3 linked regions of the Elephas maximus indicus genome follow. The protein of the gene in region 1 interacts with the protein of each later gene in a pairwise test. Links are inferred from orthologs where the notes say so. Each region holds a gene or a part of one and is shown on either strand. Other genes may lie near its edges.

Evidence for each region. The genes of interacting proteins can lie anywhere in the genome.
Region 2: the proteins of PLSCR1 (region 1) and CCER1 interact in a two-hybrid assay, tested with the Homo sapiens proteins (2 studies listed by BioGRID and IntAct). The two-hybrid records come from large-scale screens. The link is inferred for Elephas maximus indicus from reciprocal best matches to the Homo sapiens genes PLSCR1 and CCER1.
Region 3: the proteins of PLSCR1 (region 1) and GLRX3 interact in binary tests that used the Homo sapiens proteins (3 or more experiments, as listed by UniProt). The two-hybrid records come from large-scale screens. The link is inferred for Elephas maximus indicus from reciprocal best matches to the Homo sapiens genes PLSCR1 and GLRX3.

The regions. Positions count from the first base shown.
Region 1 is NC_064841.1:13,289,372-13,297,300, reverse strand, and holds the start of PLSCR1 (phospholipid scramblase 1), read right to left. Parts: upstream 3,003-7,929; 5' UTR 2,722-3,002; exon of another isoform or gene 2,518-2,721; intron 2,473-2,517; exon of another isoform or gene 2,450-2,472; intron 1-2,449. UniProt on the Homo sapiens protein: Catalyzes calcium-induced ATP-independent rapid bidirectional and non-specific movement of phospholipids (lipid scrambling or lipid flip-flop) between the inner and outer leaflet of the plasma membrane resulting in collapse of the phospholipid asymmetry which leads to phosphatidylserine externalization on the cell surface.
Region 2 is NC_064822.1:155,350,601-155,356,856, forward strand, and holds CCER1 (coiled-coil domain-containing glutamate-rich protein 1), read right to left. Parts: upstream 1,769-6,256; coding exon 509-1,768; downstream 1-508. UniProt on the Homo sapiens protein: Regulator of histone epigenetic modifications and chromatin compaction into the sperm head, required for histone-to-protamine (HTP) transition.
Region 3 is NC_064834.1:80,051,874-80,059,741, forward strand, and holds the start of GLRX3 (glutaredoxin-3), read left to right. Parts: upstream 1-4,860; 5' UTR 4,861-4,903; coding exon 4,904-4,992; intron 4,993-7,868. UniProt on the Homo sapiens protein: Together with BOLA2, acts as a cytosolic iron-sulfur (Fe-S) cluster assembly factor that facilitates [2Fe-2S] cluster insertion into a subset of cytosolic proteins.

The DNA of each region.
Region 1 (7,929 bases):
AAATAGAAAACTAACACAATAAAGAATTACTCTACGTGCTATGAATAAAAGTAAATGGTGCTATAAAAAAGAATCACGGGGGCACTAATTTAGATGGTGAGACACTATCAGGAAAGTCAGCTCTGACTGAAGAAAGTCCAGTAACAACCATCATGTGCCCCTGGGTGTATGTAGGAGGGGTGCCATGACAGACAGAGGGAACCACACGTGTCTAAATCATGAGGCTAGAGGGAGCTTGGCTCATTTCCTCAATTAAAAGGTCGGTGGGGTTACACAGCAGAAGAAGAGAGAGAGAATCCCAGGAAAAGATGGAGAGGTCTACTGGGGCCATTTCACACACATCTAACATTTCTTCACTTCCAATGCTAAGTAAGCTCTCAAAGGCCAAGCACGGTCAGTCTTGTCCAGGACAAGGTGCTTAATTGATACTTACTGAATTAACCTGTGTGTGGTATTATTTAATTCCTTCCACTCTGTAAAACAGTTACCTTACAGATCTGAAAGCTGTTTAAACTAAAACCCTGCTTTTTACATTCCACTTTCCTATCCACTGCAGAAATCCACTCATTTCCTTTTGTTTGTCATGGTGTTTGCTCTTGTTGAAAACCCCACAACTGTGGTAAAACCCACGGTGGCATTAAAAGAAAATTCTGCTGTTGGGAAAGCTTAGAGAAGAAAAAGAAAGCCAAAACTTCGTGCCCCTTCGCACTAAATAGTGCCACATGTACTAAGCACGGAGCCCTGGTGGTGCAGTGGTTAAGAGCTAAGGCTACGAACCCAAAGGTCAGCAGTTCGAATCCACCTGCCGCTTCTCGGAAGCCCTATGAGACAGTTCTACTCTGTCCCATAGGGTCACTATGAGTCGGAATCCCCTGGACCGTAATGGGTTACCGGTACTAAACATGAATTGCAAATTTTTTTTCTTTTAAACTTCTATGGAAAACAACGGCTGCCTGTTCCTGGTACACAGAAGTGAGGTGCCAAGACTTCCAGGAGTAACTATGGGTAAGTGAAATCACATAGGAAAACCTGACAGTGAGCTTGGACAAGCAAGGGTCGTATTTTTAGCAGTATTAGGTACTGCTCAGGAAACCCTGATGCCGTAGTGGTTAAGTGCTACAGCTGCTGACCAAGTGGTCGGCAGTTTGAATCCGCCAGGCGCTCCTTGGAAACTCTATGGGGCAGTTCTACTCTGTCCTATAGGGTCGCTGAGTTGGAATCGACTCGACGGCACTGGGTTTGGGTTTGGTTTGGTTTGGTTTGGTTTAGGTACTGGTCTAATTACATCACATGTGTTGATGTCTTAACCCAGTTTCAGAGATGAGGCAACAAAGGCACATACATGAAATACAGGCAGCCCCCGCTTATGAACAAGATCCATCCCCAAGGGTCTTTAAATTGAATTAATAGATAAGTCAGAACAGATACATAAGATTCTTATTTAGCATCAAACGTTTGTCTTAGCATATATTTTACCTTTCAAAAAAAATTTTTTGTGTGTGCATACAAATCACTAAGAAACACTTCCCAAATACACTAAAGTATCTTAAGCCTACAACTCAAATGTTTAATACAATAGGCTTATGGCAGTCCGTTCTTAAAATAAGTACCAGTTGTTCTTAAAACCCAAACCAAACCCACTGCCATCGAATCGATTTCGACTCATATTAAGTCGGATGTTTTTTAAACGGAGACTGCCTGTAACTGGCTCAAAGTCCACGGATACTAAAAGACAGAAACAACTGAAACTCAAAACAGCTTAACGCTGGAGCTGGTGGTCTTACCACCACACCGCCTCTATCTTTCGGTTTCTTTTCCTAGTCTAGGGTGCTCAGCATAGGCTGGGGCTAAATGACAGCTGGATGACTCTATTAATCGTCTCTTCTAATACCTCCAACAAGCTGCTCTAACAAACCCAGCTTCTCGAATGGATTCAACACGGCTCTCTGCACTGCAAAGCAGCGAAAACAAAGCCCAGATAAGGCAGTTTCGGGCAGGACCAACCTTGTCATTGGGAAAGGTCGGGGCACGGCCCGGAGAACCGCTGGGCCAGCTAGAGCCCCTGGTGGAGACCCCGCTCCACTTCCGCGGTCGCTTCCCGAGGCCGCCCCCGGCCCCCGGCCCCCAGCCCTGGTGCAAACAGAACCCGCGGGCCCTCGCGCACCTCCCCAAGCCGCGCCCGCGCCAGGAGACAGAGAAACCGCCCACCTGGGGCTGCCCCCAGCCGGCGCGGCGCAGCCCGAGAGCCAAGGCGCCTCGGTGCCCCAGGACCCAGAAGACCGCGCGGGGCCGAGGAGCTTCTCCCCGGACCCCTCGGCGGTCGGGTATGCCTGGTTACATAACTTCTCTGAAGTCTCCGAGAAAAGGGGCCGCGAAACGACCTCGGCGTCGAAACCCGCGGCTCCCGGTGGGCTTCCTGGAGCCCAGGTATACCCAGTGCGCCCCTCACCTGGTCCCCCCGCTGGCGCCGAGGTCCCGTGGCTCCTGGAGCCCAGGTATAACCAGTGCGCCCCTCACCTGGGTCCCGCGCTGGCGCCGAGGTCCCGTGGCTCCTGGAGCCCAGATATAACCAGTGCGCCCCTCACCTGGTCCCCGCGCTGGCGCCGAGGTCCCGTGGCTCCTGGAGCCCAGGTATAACCAGTGCGCCCCTCACCTGGGTCCCGCGCTGGCGCCGAGGTCCCGTGGCTCCTGGAGCCCAGGTATAACCAGTGCGCCCCTCACCTGGTCCAGCACTGGCGCCGAGGTCCCGTGGCACCTGGAGCAGACCGGCCACCCTGGGGAAGTCCGCCCCGCCCCTCCCTTGCCGGTGGCAGGGGCTCAGAAGACGTTAGTTCTGGGGTTATCGCTGAAGCCCAGGAATGGGAGAGGCCCCACCAGCTGTGACTTGGAAAAGAGGAAAAGTCAAAACTCAGATGCGGCCGCCCGTGGGGAGGAGTTGGAGCGGCCTACGCAGCACTTCCTTTATCCCGGCGCTGACTACAAGAGTCAGGTTCCTGCTGCCTTTCAAAGGTGGGGGCTGCGGGGTTGGAGGGAGGGGGGCGGGAGCATGAATAAATCGGCGTCAAGATTGTTTCTTTTTTGCGTGTGTTTCACCTCCCGCTCTCTTGCTTTCTTTGCATCAAATGATGTTTGGAAACTTGTTTTGAGTCATACTGACCAAGTGTATTTAGAAAGTTTCGTTTTCCGCCCCCGCGACAGGAACACAGATGTGCAATAATAAACAAGTAGTTGTGGAACTGAACGGTTCCTTGATTTTTTTTTTAATTTTTATTTACAGTAGTAACACGTGATGTTTCAAACAATAAAACCGAGAAATAGTCCCTCTCCACCCCTATCCCCGCTTCTCTCCCCATTCTACTGTGAACAGACTAAGAGGTAGAGGTTGGAAGGAAAGGAGAGAAAAAAAAAAAAGAGGTTGGAAGGAAAGGAGAGGAGATAGACATTGCAAAGGATGGAAACAGGCGGGAGGAAACTGAACCACCTTCGCTGGAATTCCTTCTCCTCCACTTAACCAGCTCTGTGACCTCGGGAAAGTGACCTGCCAATCTCTGTGCCTCTTTTTTTAAATGTTAAGTAAAAATTAAAAAAAAAAAAAATCAAGGAACCCTTCAGTTCCACAACTACTTGTTTATTATTGCACGCCTTTGTTCCCGTCGCGGGGGCGGAAAACGAAACTTTCTGAATACGCTTGGTCGGTTTGACTCAAAACAAGTTTCCAAACATCATAGTAATAGTATCTATCTAATAGAATTTTTATAAAGGTACAGAATTTAAAATAAGGAGCTTAAATAGTGCCTGGAACAGAGGAAGCGCTTAGTAAACGTTATATGTTGTTGTTACACAAATATGAGTATGCAGATCTACCAACGGTGTTTTTTTTACCTAAATAGGATTGCCTTTCTTCATCTAACGATGATCTTGGAAATCTCCATATCTCATACAGATGTGATAATCTAGGTGTAGTTTGTTTCCATTTTTTAATGATGATTCATTATGCTGTAGCCATCATCCTGGCATGTCTGCTTCTGTACACAGGGCTTGAAAACCATTAAGACAGGGAGCAAAGGCCCTGAGATCGGAAGGTGCCTGTTTGAGAAATAGCGAAGAGACTGGTGTGGTTAGAGCAGAAGCAAGTAAAAGAGAAATAGACTATACTACCGGGGAGGTAATAGGGAGTTGAGTGTGGAGACTAGGGGCTTATTAAGACAAGGAACAGAGGGCCTCCCAAATCTGCAGAGTACCAAGAAATGGGCCAGGGCGCAGAAACAAAGCCATTCCCCAGAACAATGGGGCAGGATATGTAAAAATAGCCCACAAACTTCTTTGAAGTTGCCTTTCAGAAGCAGCTGGAGAAAACCAGGCCCGGAGTCAAGGACAGAACATCCACCTGTGACGGCTGTGTGACCTTCTGCCAGGGGCAGTGAGGGGCTACAGGCCCAGCTGAGGAATCAGACCCCAGGGAGGGAGAAACTGTGCAGGTGCAGCAGCCCATAATAAGTATTCCTATGAATCCCAGAGGCCTCCAGGACAGGAGCCATCTGTTGTTCTGTGAGATGAGGGTAAGCGTTGCTCTAGGCCCTCCTGGTCTGCACTTGCAAGCCTCTTCAGTAAAGCTTTGCTTGTGTGGAAAACTCTGTGTGCCTTACCTGCTCATTCTTGACCAGTGACAGGCAAGAACCTTATTCCGGTAAGACCATGTCGTTTGATTCTCCCATCAAAATACGAGAAAGTCAATTTTTTCACGTGTCTCTGGTTCTAGGATTGCTATTGTGATTGGCAAATGCAGTATTATTTTACTATTGTTTTTGTTTCTTAATTGTGATTGTTAATGAGGTTGAGCGTAGTTTTACGTGATTATTGATCATTTTACCACTTTATTCTATAATTTGTCTTATATTAATGTCCATTTTGCTTTTTCGACTGGGGTATTTCCCCCCTCACTGATTTGTTAGTATTCTTTATACATTTTGCATTTGAATTCCTCTTGTATTAAAAAAGGTATGATTCTTCTTCCCAGAGGCCCTTTGGCTTGTAAGTTATTTAAAGTGACTTCCACCATTCATAAGTTTTAATTTTAAATTATCTTTTACTTTTTCATTTTGACTTCTGAACTTCACATTTTATTTTTAAAAGCCTAATGCACCCCCAAGACATTCACTATGATTTCTTCCTGTTTATTTTCTAATTACTAAGAAATTGGGATATTCCAGTTATCTTTTTCTTATTTGCAATTGTGTTTTGGTCCAAGAACGTACACTGTCTGGTTTCAGTCATTTGAACTTTTTTGGAGGCTTGCTTTATGACCCTTTGCTAGGTTTTATACATATTCTGCAATTATTTGCAAAGTATGTGTAGACTTCAGTTGTTGGTTACAGTGTTCTATTTATTAGGTCAGATTTCTTAATCATGCTCTTTGTTTCAACCTTTTCTTCATATATTTTGAGGTTATATGATTAGGCAATAATAATAATAAAAGTTGTTATCTCTTCCTGGTGAATTGAACCTTTATCATTAGTGTCCCTCTTTCTTTTTTTTTTTCTTTCTAGTAATGTTTTCCCTTTAAAGCCTGTTTTTTCTGAAATTAATGTTTGTTCTTATAAGTCTAAGATTTTATAAGGACAAGTAAATACATCAATAGACTCCCCCGCCCCACGCTTTTCCATCATCAAGGTCAGGAGAGGCAATTTTTCTCTGTGCTTTGTGCTCTTCCCTTCTGTGGGGTTTACTCTTCTTTCGTTTTACAAGGTGGCAACGCTTTTCCTTCAGGTGGGCCCTGATCATTATCTGTGTCTTAACACCTTTGCAGTAGCCAAAGTAGATGTCCAAGGTCTCCTGTGTTCAGTAAAAACTTCCTGATTGTTGACTTTCTGCTGCAGATGGGGAAGGAGGGCTACAAAGATCTAGTAACTTCCATATTCAGTCTTGTTTTTCAGCCTCTTCTCCCCCAATACATATTGTGTTTGTGAATCTCAAGGCTCTTTTGGTCAGTTTTTATACAGAAGAAATCTCCCATCCCTTGCTTAGGGTGGTATACACCATTGTCAGCGTGGGGTTAGTGAATGAGGGGGGTGAATCAGCCTCTGAGAATTCAAGCATTTCTCATTTTTATTTCTAAGCTTCAACTTTCAACTTTAACCTCACCTTTATTTGGCACCACCGAGCCTCTCTGGGGGTTTTGTGGCTGTGAATTGGATCTCCACATTCTCTTAACCTTCTTCATCCACTTTAACTTGCGACTTCCTGTCTTGCAAAATCAGCTATCATGCCTGCATCATCTTTCCAGTACCTGCAACTTGTTGAAATCATACTCTCCAAAATATATTCTTGTCTTTTCATCATCCTTGTAGCTTTTCTCAGCTTTAGGTTTTTTGCTTGTTTTTTTTTTTTTTTTAACTGACTTTCATTTTATCATCATCTCTGAAGAAAATTACCACTTTTAATCAGAGAACTTCTGGGTATGATATCAACTATTGGTGCCTACCCAAAATTCAGCATCTGTTTTTACATGCTGAAATACTGGTTCTCGAATTTTGGTATGCATCAGAATCACCTGGAAGTCTTTTTTAAAAAACTGCTGGACCCAAGAGACAGAAGGGGCCACATGAACCAGAGACCTACATCATCCTGAGACCAGAAGAACTAGGTGGTGCCCGGCCACAATCGATGACTGCCCTGACAGGGAGCACAGCAGAGGACCCCTGAGGGAGCAGGAGATCAGTGGGATGCAGACCCCAAATTCTCATAAAAAGACCAAACTTAATGGTCTGACTGAGACTAGAGGAATCCCGGCGGCCATGCTCCCCAGACCTTCTGTTGACACAGGACAGGAACCATCCCCGAAGACAACTCATCAGACATGAAAGGGACTGGTCAGCGGGTGGGAGAGAGATGCTGATGAAGAGTGAGCTAATTGTATCAGGTGGACACTTGAGATTGTGTTGGCAACTCTTGTCTGGAGGGGGGATGGGAGGATAGAGAGAGAGGGAAGCAGGCAAAATTGTCAAGAAAGGAGAGACTGAAAGGGCTGACTCAAGAGGGGGAGAGTAAGTGGGAGTAGGGAGTGAGATGTATGTAAACTTACATGTGACAGACTGATTGGATTTGTAAACGTTCACTTGAAGTTTAATAAAAGTTATAAAAAAAAAAAAAAACTGCTGGGGCCCCACTTCTAGAGTTTCTAATTTAGTAGGTCTGGACTGGGGCCTGAGTCTTTGTTTTTCTGACAAGTTCCATGTGAGATACTGCTCTTCCGTGGACTACACTTCAAGAACCATTGTGCTAAAGGAACCCTTTTCTTTCAGGTATTGTAGAGCAGTAGGCTCATGGAGGGCAGGTCCTAACCGCCCCCCGCCCCCCCGCATAAAAAAAAAAAAAAAGAATTTTGTTTAGTAGACAATCTTAGTAATTCCATCCTTCTTTCCCCATGATAAGTGAATCATATGACTAGCTCTTCACCAAAATTGCCTCTCTTGACCTTGAAGATGGAAAAGGTAGAGGAAGGAATCCATATATTTATTTATTTTGGTATAGACTTGTTGACAAGTGGTTGTCCAGCCTGGGTTTACATTTCCTTGCATCTAGTGTGACCATGAGACTGAGTTAACCAATGGAATGTTAGAGGAAGAAACAATTTGTGGTCCCTCCAAGCCAAGGTTTTTGGAAAACAAGTAAGCTTTTCCAGTGCTGTTTCCCTTTATCAGAAGATGATGAGTTGCTAAGGGATGGTTAAAAACAAAACAAAAACCTGTTTTGTGTGGAGTCAATTCCAACTCAGAGTAGAACTGCCCCATAGAGTTTCCAAGGAGCACCTGGTGGATACAAACTGCTGATCTTTCGGTTAACAGCCATAGGTCTTAACCATTACACCACCAGGGTTTCTAAGGGATGGTAGAGCTATGAAACAGAACAACCCTGCAGTCCTGAGTGCAC
Region 2 (6,256 bases), on another chromosome or scaffold:
AAAAAATAAAAAAACAGGCATTTTCAAATGGCTTCAGCTAGAACGTCAAGAGCACTGGAGGACATTCAAGGGCCATTTCATGTGTTTCTGAAGCATTTGGCAATCAAAAGATCTGTTGATTCCAAGCACAATAAATAGATAAGGTATATCTTTGTTACAATTTTTTTTTTTTTTGCAGCATTGCCAGAATTAAAAACAAAACAAAACAAAAAAAAACCTCAAGTGTCTATAGAGTGGAAAATACCAAAAAGAAATATTGAAACTGTATTTAGTAATAAAATAGTTGGCCTTTAATCATTTCCAATTTAATTATATTTAATATAAACCCCTCCGCCACCCATGGTGATAAACGAAACACATCAATTTTCGAACAATTTATAATAGCCAAAGAAGGGGCTTACGTATGTTTATTAATGGAACTCACTTTTGCATTTAGTTTTTAATAAATTGCTAATCCATTTTAGCCTCAATTCAGTCTCATTTCACTCCTCAATCCCTTTCCTGGTGTCTAATAGTTAATGTCCTGTACCATGAAGAGGGTTTCCTGTGGCACTTCGGGGTTCATCTGCTTTGGGCTGAAATAATTACAATTTATAAAGTTCTCTCCTTCTTCTTCAGACCCTACTAGGATTGATAAAGGCATTTCCAGAGGCAAATGGTTCTCTTCCTCTCTCTGGTCATCCTCCTCCATCCTCTCCTCTTCTTCTATATCTTCCTCTTCCTCCTCTTCCTCCCCCTCCTCTTCCTCATAGTCAGCTTCTTCCACCTCTTCACCATCAGCCTCCTCCTCTCCACCATCGGCCTCCTCCTCTTCATCCTCGGCCTCCTCCTCTTCATCCTCGCCCTCCTCACCCTCCACCTCTTCATCCTCCTCCTCACTGTCCTCATCACACACTTCTTCCTCACACTCCTCATTATCGTTTTTCTCTTCTTCCTCTTCCTCCACCTGCTGCGGAGTGGGAGACCGGTTTTCCTCCGTGGGGGCAGGTCTGAACACTAGAGAGGGATTCTGCACAAAGCCGTACAAAATTTCCTGCAGCTCTGCGTCTTCCTCGCCGCCTCTGGGTGGCGCATCTCCTGCACAGGAGGCCGCTGGGGAGGCCGGGCCGCCCGCCTGAACCTGCTGTGCCCGCAGCGCCTCCTGCTGGCGCTCCAGCTTCTCCTGCTGCCGCATGTCCTCGTAGATCTGGTTCATGATGAACTGGGTGGTGTTACGCGGCGCGCGCATGCCGGGCGCCCGCCACCCATACAGGTTGACTGGCCGCAGCAGCATGCTTAGATCCACCGGCGGGCTCCTCGGGAAGGAGCGGCGAGGGGGGCGGCGCAGGCCGCGGCCCCTGCGGCCCCATCGCCTCTTCCTGCCAGAGGGCCTTATCCAGCTGGGGTTCCGGGGTCCGTGCCAACAGGAGCAGCAGCAAAGGCAGATTGGCTGCAGGCCGTACACCCGGATCATTTGCACCCGACCAGGGGCCTTCCAGAATTCCGCTGGGGGTGGATGCCAGGGACCTCCCCAACGCCCCCGGTTGGAGTACACGGCCCTATAGGGCTGTCGAGGAGGGTAGCCCCAAGGGTCTGGGCCGTGCTGTTGCTTCGGCTGTTTCCTCGGGGGCTCATATTCGGCCTTGGGGCCATAACGGTATCGCCGCTTGTAAATCGACGCGCTCCTGCGCCTTCGGTGGGATGAGGACCAGTTGCGTAACGGGACCGAGGACGCCCAGCCGCCACCCAGATTAAGAGGGTCCTCCCTTGTGTCTACGGTCTGGTTCATGGTTCAGGAAGCCCTGAAAGATCTAAATGGTAATGTCCTAGAAGCTGTCCTCAACTTCGGCCAGATCCGACCCTCTGGAGAGTCTTGTCACCTGTGTCTCTCCACTCAGTGCCACGTGCCTGCCGCTAGGATCACACCTTTCTCTCCAGGAGGTCCCCCTCTTCCGCTCTTTCGTCGCAATCTCTTGTCCTTCGCACCCGGGTTGTCTTGCCCAGGTGGGTTGGGTGGGACTGGGGCTGGGTAAGGATGGTGGGGGAGGAAGGTGTTGGTGGGCAACGCGCAGTGAGACCCGCTCCCGGATCCCACACACGCCTGCCTCTGCCGAGGCGCGGGTTGGGAACTAGGGAGGCAGGGGTTACGCGTTACCTTGGGGCTCCCTCTCAACCCAGGTGCTTCACGGTGGCCGTCCTGGCCGGACTGAGGTGGCGCTGGGTCGCCGCAGCCTTTAAATACTGGCCAGGGGCCCCCGCGTGCCCACCGCGTCTTTGGTTGCCTCGGGCAACAGCCAATGGGGTTCGAGGTCGTTCTCCCTGTGCCTGGAGGCGGGTTCTGGCCGGGAACAAGGTGGCCCGTGAACGTTCTTACAGGGCTTGTGACGAAGTTTTTGAAGGAGGGGAAGAGGGGCCAAGGCTGGGGTTTGCACTGCTGAAGTCTGCGGCCCAACTTGGCAACGCTTAGGGCAGTTCATTTGCACTGTACCACTACTACCCTGAGGGAGGGGATACAGAAGACGAGGGGCCTTCAGCTCAACCAAGGGTATTGCGGGGGAGGATTTAGGTATTGAAAAGTATATATCTTACCCTTTGAGCTTCTGAGGGGATAAAAAGAAAGCTTCTAGAATCAGAAAACCTGGGCTCCACTCCTTACCTCACAGCTCATGCCCTTCTTTTAACTCCTGGTAACTGCAATTCATTATACATAATGCAAGGACCTCTAACATTTATTACTTGTGCTTACTGTACACCTGCGAGTGGCTCATGGCGTGCTATCTTCACATTTGTCCTGTAAGGTAGTGTGATGGTTAATGTTATGTGTCAACTTGGCTAGGCCATGGTACTATGTAGTGTGTAATTACCCTACATTTTGTGATCTGATGTAATTATCACCCATTTCATGATATAGTATGATCACGTCCATGATGTGATCTGATCTGATCAGCCAATCATTTGTAAGGGGAGTTTCCCCTGGGGGTGTGGCCAATGCCAAATATATATATATATATATATATATATATATATATATATATATATATTTATACTTACATTTTTATATATATATATAAACATTTTGGCAGAGGCCAGTTGCTTGCTCTGGCTCCTGTTTCTGGACTATCATCATCTGACTCCTGTTCTTGGGACTTGAGCCAGCAGCCTGTCTCCTGATCTGCTGAATTTGAGATTTGCTGGCTTCCACAGCCCTGTGAACCCGCAGCCTGCTGTCTGACCTGCCTATTCTAGGTTCGTCAGCCCCTGCAGCCACATGAGTCAGGAGAAGCCTCCAGCTGACAGTTGGCCCATGGACTTCGGGAACTGGCCAACTTCCACAACAGCATTAGCTATTTCCTTGAGATACATCTTTCTCTCTCTCCCCCACAGACACATACACACACATGCACATAGACATATATACGTATATATGCTTCGCTGGTTTTGCTTCTCTGGAGAACCCAGCCTAAGGCGTATATTATTACCACCTTTCACAGATTAAGGAACGGAGAGGTTAATTTGCTCAAGGTTGTGGGGTTAATACATTTCAGGCTAGAATTTAAATCTAGGCATATTAGAACCCAGAGCCCAAATTCCTATGGACATTGCTATACCCATCCACCTTAAGTAGGGCTCTTGCGATGAGTAAATGAAATACATATGGAAAGCACTTTGAAAACTGTAATACGCCATACAAATTTCTGCTGATTAAACAAACACTATTATTACCAGTTTGTATACCGTGGGTTTGTTCTTGAAAATAGAGAATACAAATATTCTGACTATGATTTTCCTTGTATCTCTTCATTGCCCATCATACGGCATATACATTGGGAGCTTTTTGTCACATTGTGGTTAAGAATGTAAATAAATAAGAATAAATAGACATGGTTCAGCTTTAACATACTGATTATTATCCTCTGGAGCCCTGGTGGTGCAGCGGTTAAGAGCTACAGCATGCTAGGGCTGCTAACTAAAAGGTCGGCAGTTGGAATCTACCAGCTGCTCCTTGGAAGTCCTGTGGAGCAGTTCTACTCTGTCCTAGAGGGTCGATATGAGTCTGAATCCGCTCAATGGCAACAGGTTTAGTTTCTTGATTTTGGTTATTATCCTGTCAGCCTCATCCTCCTTACCATAACCAAAAAACCAAACCCAGTGCCATCAAGTCGATTCCGACTCATAGTCGGTTCCGACTCATAGTCGGTTCCGACTCATAGTCGGTTCCGACTCATAGTCGGTTCCGACTCATAGTCGGTTCCGACTCATAGCGACCCTCTAGGACAGAGTAGAACTGCCCCATAGAGTTTCCAAGGAGTGTCTGGCGGATTTGAAGTGCTGACCCTTTGGTTAGCAGCCGTAGCACCTAACCACTACGCCACCAGGGTTTCCAATAACATGAGTATAATAATAGTACCTAGTGCATAGGTGGAAACTCTGGTGGTGTAGTGGTTAAGAGCTATGGCTGCTAACCAAAAGGTCGGCGGTTTGAATCTATCAGATGCTCCTTGGAAACCATATAGGGCAGTTCTACTCTGTCCTATAGGATTGCTATGAGTCAGAATCGACTCAATGGCAATGGGTTTGGTTTTTTGTATTTTAGTGCATAGGTAGAAGCTCTGACAGTGCAGTGGTTAAGAGCTCAGCTGCTAACCGAAAGGTCAGCACTTCACCCCACCAGCTGCTCTAGGGAGAAAGATGTGGCAATCTGATTACATAAAGATTACAGCCTTGGAAATCCTGTGGGGACAATTCTAGTCTGTCCTATAGGGTTGCTATGAGTTGGAATTGACTCAACAGCACACAACAACTACAGTGTGTAGGTTTATTTTAAGGATTTAATAAGATGCTGCATTGAAGTGATTAGCACAGGAACACAATGAGCACTCAACAACTGTTCACTAGCGTCATTGTCATACTGAAATATTTCAAGCATTTTAAAAGGTGTAATACAGCACATATAAAGACACCTAACTCTGTGACTAACACAAAAATAGATAGGCCATCCCCTGTGTCCTTTTCTTGTCCCACTTTGTAGAAACATCAATCAAGTACTCCCAGGTTTGATCCTAGAAATAACCATCCCAGAGTATATTCCTTTATTACTTTTCTGTGGTGAGCGGAATTGTGCAAAATGGAACACTGCCTGCTGGGAGCTCAAGTCTATACAAGCCTCCATTAAATGACAGAGAAGCAGAATGTGCAAAAGCCCTGAAGCTTGCAAAGGTCATTGATTCATTCTTGTTTGAAAATTGAGAATGGTATGGGAGTTCTTGGATCAGGACTCCAACAGTTGCCTTGGGACCTGTAGACACCACAGGCTTCATTCAATTTCATTTGCTCTGTGGTTTGCTGAAGACAAGACTGCTTGACTCAAAATGCATTATGCTGAAACTTTTAGCCTCCAGTGTCCCCTTTTCTGATTCTAGATGTAAAATCACACATCTGGCAGTTACCTTCCTCCTGCTCTACTTAACTCAAAATGGAATGGTGATATTCTAGATTTGTTTTTCTTAGGGCATATGTGGTAGAAGATACTGCGTTTTGATGGAAAGCTTTAGAAATGATCAAGTTTCTCTAGTGGAATTCTGTCTTAGGCTGGGTTATCAAGAGAAGCAAAATCAGTAAAGCCTGTAAATATATACAGAGAGATTTATATCAAGGAAAAACCTTACACGATTGTAGGGGCTGGAACATCCCAAGTCCTTGGATCAGGATACAGGCCTTTCCCAATTCGTGGAGCTGCAGAAGCTGGTGAACCCAAGATGAGCAAGTCAGAGAGCAGGGCTCCCGATCACAGGCCATGACAGTAGAGGAATCCCCAAGGTCGGCAGGCAAGACCACAAGGTTTCTCCTGATTCATGTAGCTGCAGGGGCTGGCGAACCCAAGATAGGCAGGTCAGGGAGCAGGACTCTTGCTCAAAGGCTGTGAAGATCGACAAATCCCAAGATGGACAGGTAAGCTACTAGCTGAAGTCCCAAGAACCAGAGGTCAGACAAGAGACAGCTGCTGGATCCAGAACAAGCCAGCAACCTTTGCGAGGTGAGCAGGAAGGAAGTAGGAAGTGAAAGGTGGAAAGATGAAGGCTGAGGGGGTGGTGGGCTGCCACAGGCCCCACCCCCACCAGTGCAATTCAGCAGATTCCATCATGGGGCTGATCACGTATCACATTTCAACAGGGAAGTGATCACAACATTATACAACTGCCAAAACACTGAGAATCATGGCCTAGCCAAGTTGACACACAGTCTTAACCATCACAAATTCCTATCAGTTTCTTGTTTG
Region 3 (7,868 bases), on another chromosome or scaffold:
AAGTCCACGAGAGCCAAAATATGACCTTGAGTATATCCCACCTGAATTTAGAGACCATCTCAAGAATAGATTTGACGCATTGAACACTAGTGACCGAAGACCAGATGAGTTGTGGAATGACATCAAGGACATCATCCATGAAGAAAACAAGAGGTCACCGAGAAGACAGGAAAGAAAGAAAAGACCAAGATGGATGTCAGAGGAGACTCTGAAACTTGCTCTTGAGCGTCGAGCAGCTAAAGCAAAAGGAAGAATTGATGAAGTAAAAAAAGGGCCTCTCGAGAAGACAAAGTAAATTATTATAATCACATGTGCAAAGAGCTGGAGATGGAAAACCAAAAGGGAAGAACATGCTCGGTGTTTCTCAAGCTGAAAGAACTGAAGAAAAAATTCAAGCCTCGAGTTGCAACAGTGAAGGATTCCATGGAGAAAATATTAAACGATGCAGGAAGCATCAAAAGAAGATGGAAGGAATACACACAGTCATTATACCAAAACGAATTAGTAGATATTCAACCATTTCAAGAGGTGGCATATGATCAGGAACCGATAGTACTGAAGGAAGAAGTCCAAGCTGCTCTGAAGGCATTGGCGAAAAACAAGGCTCCAGGAACTGATGGAATATCAATTGAGATGTTTCAACAAACAGATGCAGCGCTGGAGGTGCTCACTCGTCTATGCCAAGAAATATGGAAGACAGCTTCCTGGCCAACTGAGTGGAAGAGATCCATATTTATGCCTATTCCCAAGAAAGGTGATCCAACCGAATGTGGAAATTATAGAACAATATCATTAATATCATACGCAAGCAAAATTTTGCTGAAGGTCATTCAAAAACGGCTGCAGCAGTATATCGACAGGGAACTGCCAGAAATTCAGGCTGGTTTCTGGGACCGGGGATATCATTGCTGATGTCAGATGGATCCTGGCTGAAAGCAGAGAATACCAGAAGGATGTTTACCTGTGTTTTGTTGACTATGCTAAGGCATTCGACTGTGTGGATCATGACAAACTATGGATAACACTGCGAAGAATGGGAATTCCAGAACACTTAATTGTGCTCCTGAGGAACTTTTACATAGATCAAGAGGCAGTTGTTCAGACAGAACAAGGGGATACTGATTGGTTTAAAGTCAGGAAAGGTGTGCGTTAGGGTTGTATTCTTTCACCATACCTATTTAATCTGTATGCTGAACAAATAATCCGAGAAGCTGGACTATATGAAGAAGAATGGGGAATCAGGATTGGAGGAAGACTCATTAACAACCTGCGTTATGCAGATGACACAACCTTGCTTGCTGAAAGTGAAGACAACTCAAAGCACTTACTAATGAAGATCAAAGACCACAGCCTTCAGTATGGATTACACCTCAACATAAAGAAAACAAAAATCCTCACAACTGGACCAATAAGCAACATCATGATAAATGAAGAAAAGATTGAAGTTGTCAAGGATTTCATTTTACTTGGTTCCACAATCAACAGCCATGGAAGCAGCAGTCAAGAAATCAAAAGATGCATTGCATTGGGTAAATCTGCCGCAAAGGACCTCTTCAAAGTGTTGAAGAGCAAAGATGTCACCTTGAAGACTAAGATGTGCCTGACCCAAGCCATGGTATTTTCAATCGCATAATATGCATGTGAAAACTGGACAATGAATAAGGAAGACCGAAGAAGAGTTGACGCCTTTGAATTGCGGTGCTGGCGAAGAATTTTGAATATACCGTGGACTGCCAAAAGAACGAACAAATCTGTCTTGGAAGAAGTGCGGCCAGAATGCTCCTTAGAGGGAAGGATGGCAAGACTGCGTCTTACATACTTTGGACTTACTGTCAGGAGGGATCAGTCCCTGGAGAAGGACATCATGCTCGGCAGAGTACAGGGTCAGCGGAAAAGAGGAAGACTCTCAACGAGGGGGATTGACACAGTGGCTGCAACAATGAGCTCAAGCGTAACAACGGATGGCGCAGGACCGGGCAGCGTTCCGTTCTGTTGTGCATAGGGTCGCTATGAGTCGGAACGGAATCGATGGCACCTAACAACAACAACGTGTTAGAGGGGTGATTACTGCTCTTCTGAAAACGACTCAAAATGGCCCATTTCCCTGGTGCATCACAATTTCAGTATATTTTTAATTACAAAGCCAATCCATGCTCTTTGAAAAAATGCAGTGACAGAAGTGCATCCTGTAAAAAGCGAAGGTCCCCCCCCATTGAACACCTTTGGCAGTCTCCCCAGTGGTAATATTTTGCAAGCTACAGAGCAATATCACCATTAGGATATTGACGTGACCTACTCGTTTTATCCAGACTTCCCCAGGTTTACTTTGCTCACTCTTGTGTGGGTGTATTTAATTCTGTGCAATTTTATCACCTGTGTGGGTTCACGTATTCTCCACTACACTCAAGAAGATACAGAACAGTTTCTCACCACAGTTCCGTTGCATTTTAAATAAGGTAATGTACCAATTTCAGTAAATCCGTTTCTCAGTGTAAGACAACCTGTAACGTGGCTCCAAAAGGCCACTTTTAATCCCTGCAGCAACACCCTCCCACAGAAAATACAAAATCCAAAAGTAAATAAATAAATAAAGTGAGCCATAAATGAAAGCCTCCATGTAATTTAAATTTTTCTAGTAACTACATTAAAAAGGTAAAAGGAGGTAAATTTAATTTTATCAATATATTTCATATAATCCAATATATTCAAAATATTATCATTTCAACATATAATCAGTATCAAAATCATAAATGAGGTATTTTACTTTTTTTATACTGAATCTTTGAATCAGTTGTATATTTTACACTTAGAGGCCCATGGCCGTCGAGTCGATTCTGACTCACAGCAACCGAGTAAGGACAGAGTAGAACTGCCTCGTGGGGTTTTGAAGTTGTAATCTTTACAGAAGCAGACTGCCACATCTGTCTTCTGTGAAGTGGCTGGTGGGTTCAAACTGCCAACCTTTTGGATAGCAGTCAAGCACTTCACCACTGCGCTACCAGGGCTCCTTCAATCTTCCTTACTTATTATCCAGCTTTAGCATCCCTCTGAGGCAAATGAAAATACAACAGCTTGGGTCACATGCACCTTAGTTCTTAAAGTGACCTCTTCGCTTTTTAACATTTTAAAGAGGCCTTTTACAGCAGATTTGCCCAATACAATACGTCACTTGGTTTCTTGACTGCCGCTTCCCTGGGCGTTGACTGTGGATCTGAGCAAAATGAAATCCTTGACAACTTCAATATTTTCTCTGTTTATCATGATGTTGCTTTTGGTTCATTTGTGAGGAGTTCTGTTTTCTCTATGTTGAGATGTAATCCATCCTGAAGGCTGTAGTCTTTGATCTTCATCAGTAAGTGCCTCAAGCCCTCTTCACTTTCAGCAAGCAAGGTTGTGTCATCTGTATATTGCAGATTGTTAATGAGTCTTCTTTCAATCTAATGCCACGTTCTTCTTCATGGAGTCCAGCTTCTCGGATTACTTGCTCAGCATACAGATTGAATAAATATGGTGAAAGGATACAACCCTGACACACAACTTTCCTGATTTTGAACCACACAGTATCCCCTTGCTCTGTTCAAATGACAGCCTCTTGGTCTTTGTATACATTCCATATGAGCACAAGTAAGTGTTCTGGAATTCCCATTCTTCCCAATGTTATCCATGATTTGTTATGAGCCACACAGGCGAATGCCTTTGCATAGTCAATAAAACAAGGTAAACATCCTTCTGGTGTTCTCTGCCTTTAGCCAGGCTCCATCTGACATCAGCAATGATATCCCTGGTTCCACGGCCTCTTCTGAATCCGGTTTGAATTTCTGATGAACAGCAGCAGAACGTTGTCTGATATAGTACTGGAAGAGGAACACATCTGGTTGGAAGACACTCAAAAGAAGACTGGGGAAGAGCTGCCTCCTCAAAGTATCAAAAAAAAAAAAAAAAAAAAAAAAGTCCGCCACCCTCAAGTCCATTCTGATTTATAGCAACAGTCTAGGACAGAGTAGAACTGCCCCATGGGGTTTCCAAGGAGCAGCTGGTCAGCAGCTGAGCTCTCAACCACCGTGCCACCAGGGCTGGGGCCTCAATGTATGGTCGACCTCAATGATGTAAAGGGAGTAAAGCTTCGGGACCTTCATTTGCGGACTTGGTACGACTCAAGATGCGAAGAAACAGCTGCAAACATCCATTAGTGATCAGAAGGTGGAATGCAGACATATGTGGTTGAATCTAGGAAAACTGAAGTCGTCAAAATTAAGTGAAATGCAAAAAGATCGCTGTCCTAGGCATGAAAAAACCCCACTGCGGTTGAGTGGATTCCGACTCAGCGATCCTAGGCATCAGAGAGCGGAAATGGACTGGTACTGGCTATTTCGAATCAATCCTACGGTCCTGTGGTCTATGCTTATAGTAGCCCTATGGCCACCATAATGGGTATCGCAGCCACATGGCTACCTGACAGTCACGACCCTTGGCATGAGGATTCCAGGTTCCCAGTGGAAACCCCTGGCCTGGGCCAGGCGCCAGCGCGGCCTCTGTCGTTTCACGATCTCGGCTGCAGAGTACAGAGACTCTGGGGCGGGGCCCGCGGGACGGAAGAGGCCTGCGGGGCGGGGCCGCGGGAGGGGCGGGGCCTGCAGGGGGCGGGGCTTGCAGGGCCGGTCCGAAGGGGACATGCGCAGGCCGGGAGGGGCGGGGCGCGAGAGACGGCGCCCTGCGGGGCAAGTCGCTCGGGAGGCGGGGCCTACCGGGCGGGTCCCGCGGGAGGCCGGCGCAGGCCGGGATGGGGCGGGTCCGGGGGCGGGTCCTGCGGGGGACGGCGATCCACCTGCGCGCAGCGAGCCGGCGTCGCGGCCCCGCCCACCGAGCCGCCCGCGCTCGATTGCTCCTGTCTGGCGGCGGCAGCATGGCGGCGGGGGCGCCCGAGGCGGCAGCCGCCGTGGTGGAGGTTGGCTCGGCCAGGCAGTTTGAGGAGCTCCTGCCCGTCAAAGCCAAGTAAGCGGGGCGGCGAGCGGCGGAAGTTAGGAGCCGTGGCGGAGGCCGTTCGCGAGGCCCGGCCCCACTGGAAGGCCTGGCCGGCTCCCTCCCGCCGTTCGGTCGCGGCCTCGGTGGACCGCCCGGCCCGCGGACGCCCCATAGTCCTCATTTGGGGTTCAGAGCTGGACGGCCCAGAGTCTGGCTTGCTTTGCCTGGGAGAGTCAGCAGTGCGGAGGCCGCCCCCCGCCCGGCCGCTGAAGTGCGGCTCCGGGGGCGCGGCCCGGCCCAATTGGCGGCCCGGGCCCGTGGACCCGACTCTCCAGCCTCGGGCCTGGCCATTCTGGGGTCACGGACGCGGTGACTCAGCTTAGCAGTCTGGGCGGGGCCGGAGACTTGGGTGGGTCCTGGAGAGCAGGGGGCGCTGAGATCCGGGTTGGGCCTGGAGCAGGGGGCTCTGAGACCCGGGCTGGGCCTGGAGGGCAGGGGGCTCTGAGACCCGGGCTGAGCCTGGAGGGCAGGGGGCTCTGAGACCCGGGCTGAGCCTGGAGGGCAGGGGCCTCTGAGACCCGGGCTGGGCCTGGAGGGCAGGGGGCTCTGAGACCCGGGCTGAGCCTGGAGGGCAGGGGGCTCTGAGACCCGGGCTGAGCCTGGAGGGCAGGGGCCTCTGAGACCCGGGCTGGGCCTGGAGGGCAGGGGCCTCTGAGACCCGGGCTGGGCCTGGAGGGCAGGGGGTCTGAGACCCGCGCTGGGCCTGGAGGGCAGGGGGTCTGAGACCCGCGCTGGGCCTGGAGGGCAGGGGGCGCGGAGACTCGCGCTGGGCCTTGGGGTGCGAGGGGTTATGAGACCTGGGCTGTGCCAGAAGGGCAGGGTCCTAGAGACCTGGTCTGAGCCAGGAGGCGGGGGAGGGGGGGGGGCGCGCGGAGACCCCAGCTGGGCCTGCAGGGCAGTGGGCCATGAGATCCGGGCTGGGCCTGGAGGGCAGGGGCTCGGAGACTCGCGCTGGGCCTTGCGGGGCGAGGGGTTATGAGACCTGGGCCGGGCCTGGAGGGCGGGGGACGCTGAGACCCGGACAGGGCATGAAAGGTGGGGGATGCAGAGACCCCCCGCTGGCCCTGGGTAGGGGGTGGGGGCGGATGGGGAGGGCGGGGGTCGGAGACCTCAGCTGGGCCTGGAGAGCGGGGAATGCGTCAGTGGGGACCCCAAGCCCGTGGGTCCGACCTCTCTGTGCAGACTGTAATCGGACAGGTCGCACTTGTCTGTACTGTCTCTTAGCGTCACTTTGTAGAACGTACCTGTCACCAGGAAAAGCAACCAATCAAGCCGTACCAGGGTTAGGCAGTTCTGTCTTCATTTTAAAATTATATTTTAAAGTTTGTTGGTACTCAGGTTGCCACAGGCAGGGATTTCCTGTTTCCTGAATCAGTGTAGTCCGAGTTGGCTCAGGTTGGCCCACGTGCTTCTTGCCCTTGAGAAGACTACAAAGGGATGCCCTGAAAACGTTTTTGGATAAATGGAAGCTCTGAACTATATGCATGCTTGCAGGTAGATGCTTGCAGGGGTGAATGCTTACAAGTAAATGCTTACAGGAATGCCGATGAGCGCTCCTTAGTAACAGTGCCACCTCAGCTCTAGAGCCCTGGAAGGACTGAGTTCAGATGGAAGCTCTAGTGTCAGATTGCGTGGGACCAGATTCCCAACGTGGCCAGTTACCAGGCATTATGGGACCGCTGGGCCAGTTTCATAAGCAAGCGTCAGTTTCCTAAGCGGTAGAATGGTTTAGAGTAGTACCTACCTCCTAGGGTTGTGTGAGGATTAAACAAGACTATGACTGTAAAATACCTAGCTCGTTCGTTGTCTGGCATGCTGAAAGCACGTGGAGATGTTGACTGTTACTGTTTTCAGTATGGAGCGGAGTGCCTGCATGGAGTTCACAGGCCATAAATGCTTAATTGATCTAAATTCAGTAGAAGTTTGTCACTGAATTTGAATTAGAAGCGGGTAGTACTTTGTGATTTTTTCAATGGAGAGTGCAGATGAGATGGGGGCTTGCCTTTGTTGAAGATGGGGAGAAGTGACAGATAACTCTTCTGGCTGGCCATGCTTTATGGAGGCAATGAAGTCCAAGTGCTAATTAAAACAGCTCTTTTGGCATTTCAGGCTTACCTGGGAAATTGTTAAACGAGGGGAAATGAGGTTTACTCATTGATGAGCACTGGACTCTGGTTCATCCTGCACTTTTCCACACAGATCTGAAGGCAGCAAAATTACGGAGGACATGAGAGGTGGCCTCTGGAAGCAAGTACAGCTTGTGTGGACCTGCCCTTGATAAACGTTTTCAATTTACCGTCACCTGACTTTGGTTTTTTTGTGTGTTTTACGTTTTTTTTATGCTTCATGTTGTAAACAATCTTTAAAATACCACAAGGGGTAAAGGCTTAAATGTAAATACCAGTTAGATGTATTCTTGCTACTGGTCTGTACTTGAAATGACCCAAAAACCCTCACACCCTTTCTGTAGTAATTAGCGTAAAAAGGCACGTGGGACACAGGATCTGGCATCTGGGGAAGGAACAATCTCTGCCTCTTGTGAAAACGTCAGCATTCAGAACATGAGGTAGTAAGTAGCCCTGGTGGAGAAGTGGTTAACAGCTACAGCTGCTAACCAAAAGGTTGGCCTTTTGAATCCGCCAGCCACTTCTTGGAAACTGTGGGGCAGTTCTCTGCCCTATAAGGTCGCTATGAGTCAGAGTCGACTTGAAGGCAACAGGTTTGGTTTGTGTTAATGTAATCATTTAAAATCTTTCCAAATCATCCCTTCTCAGTTTTAAAATTTGGTATGAATTGAAATTTTTTTTTTTTTTTTTTGCTTAAGCTATCTAATTAGATTTTATAAG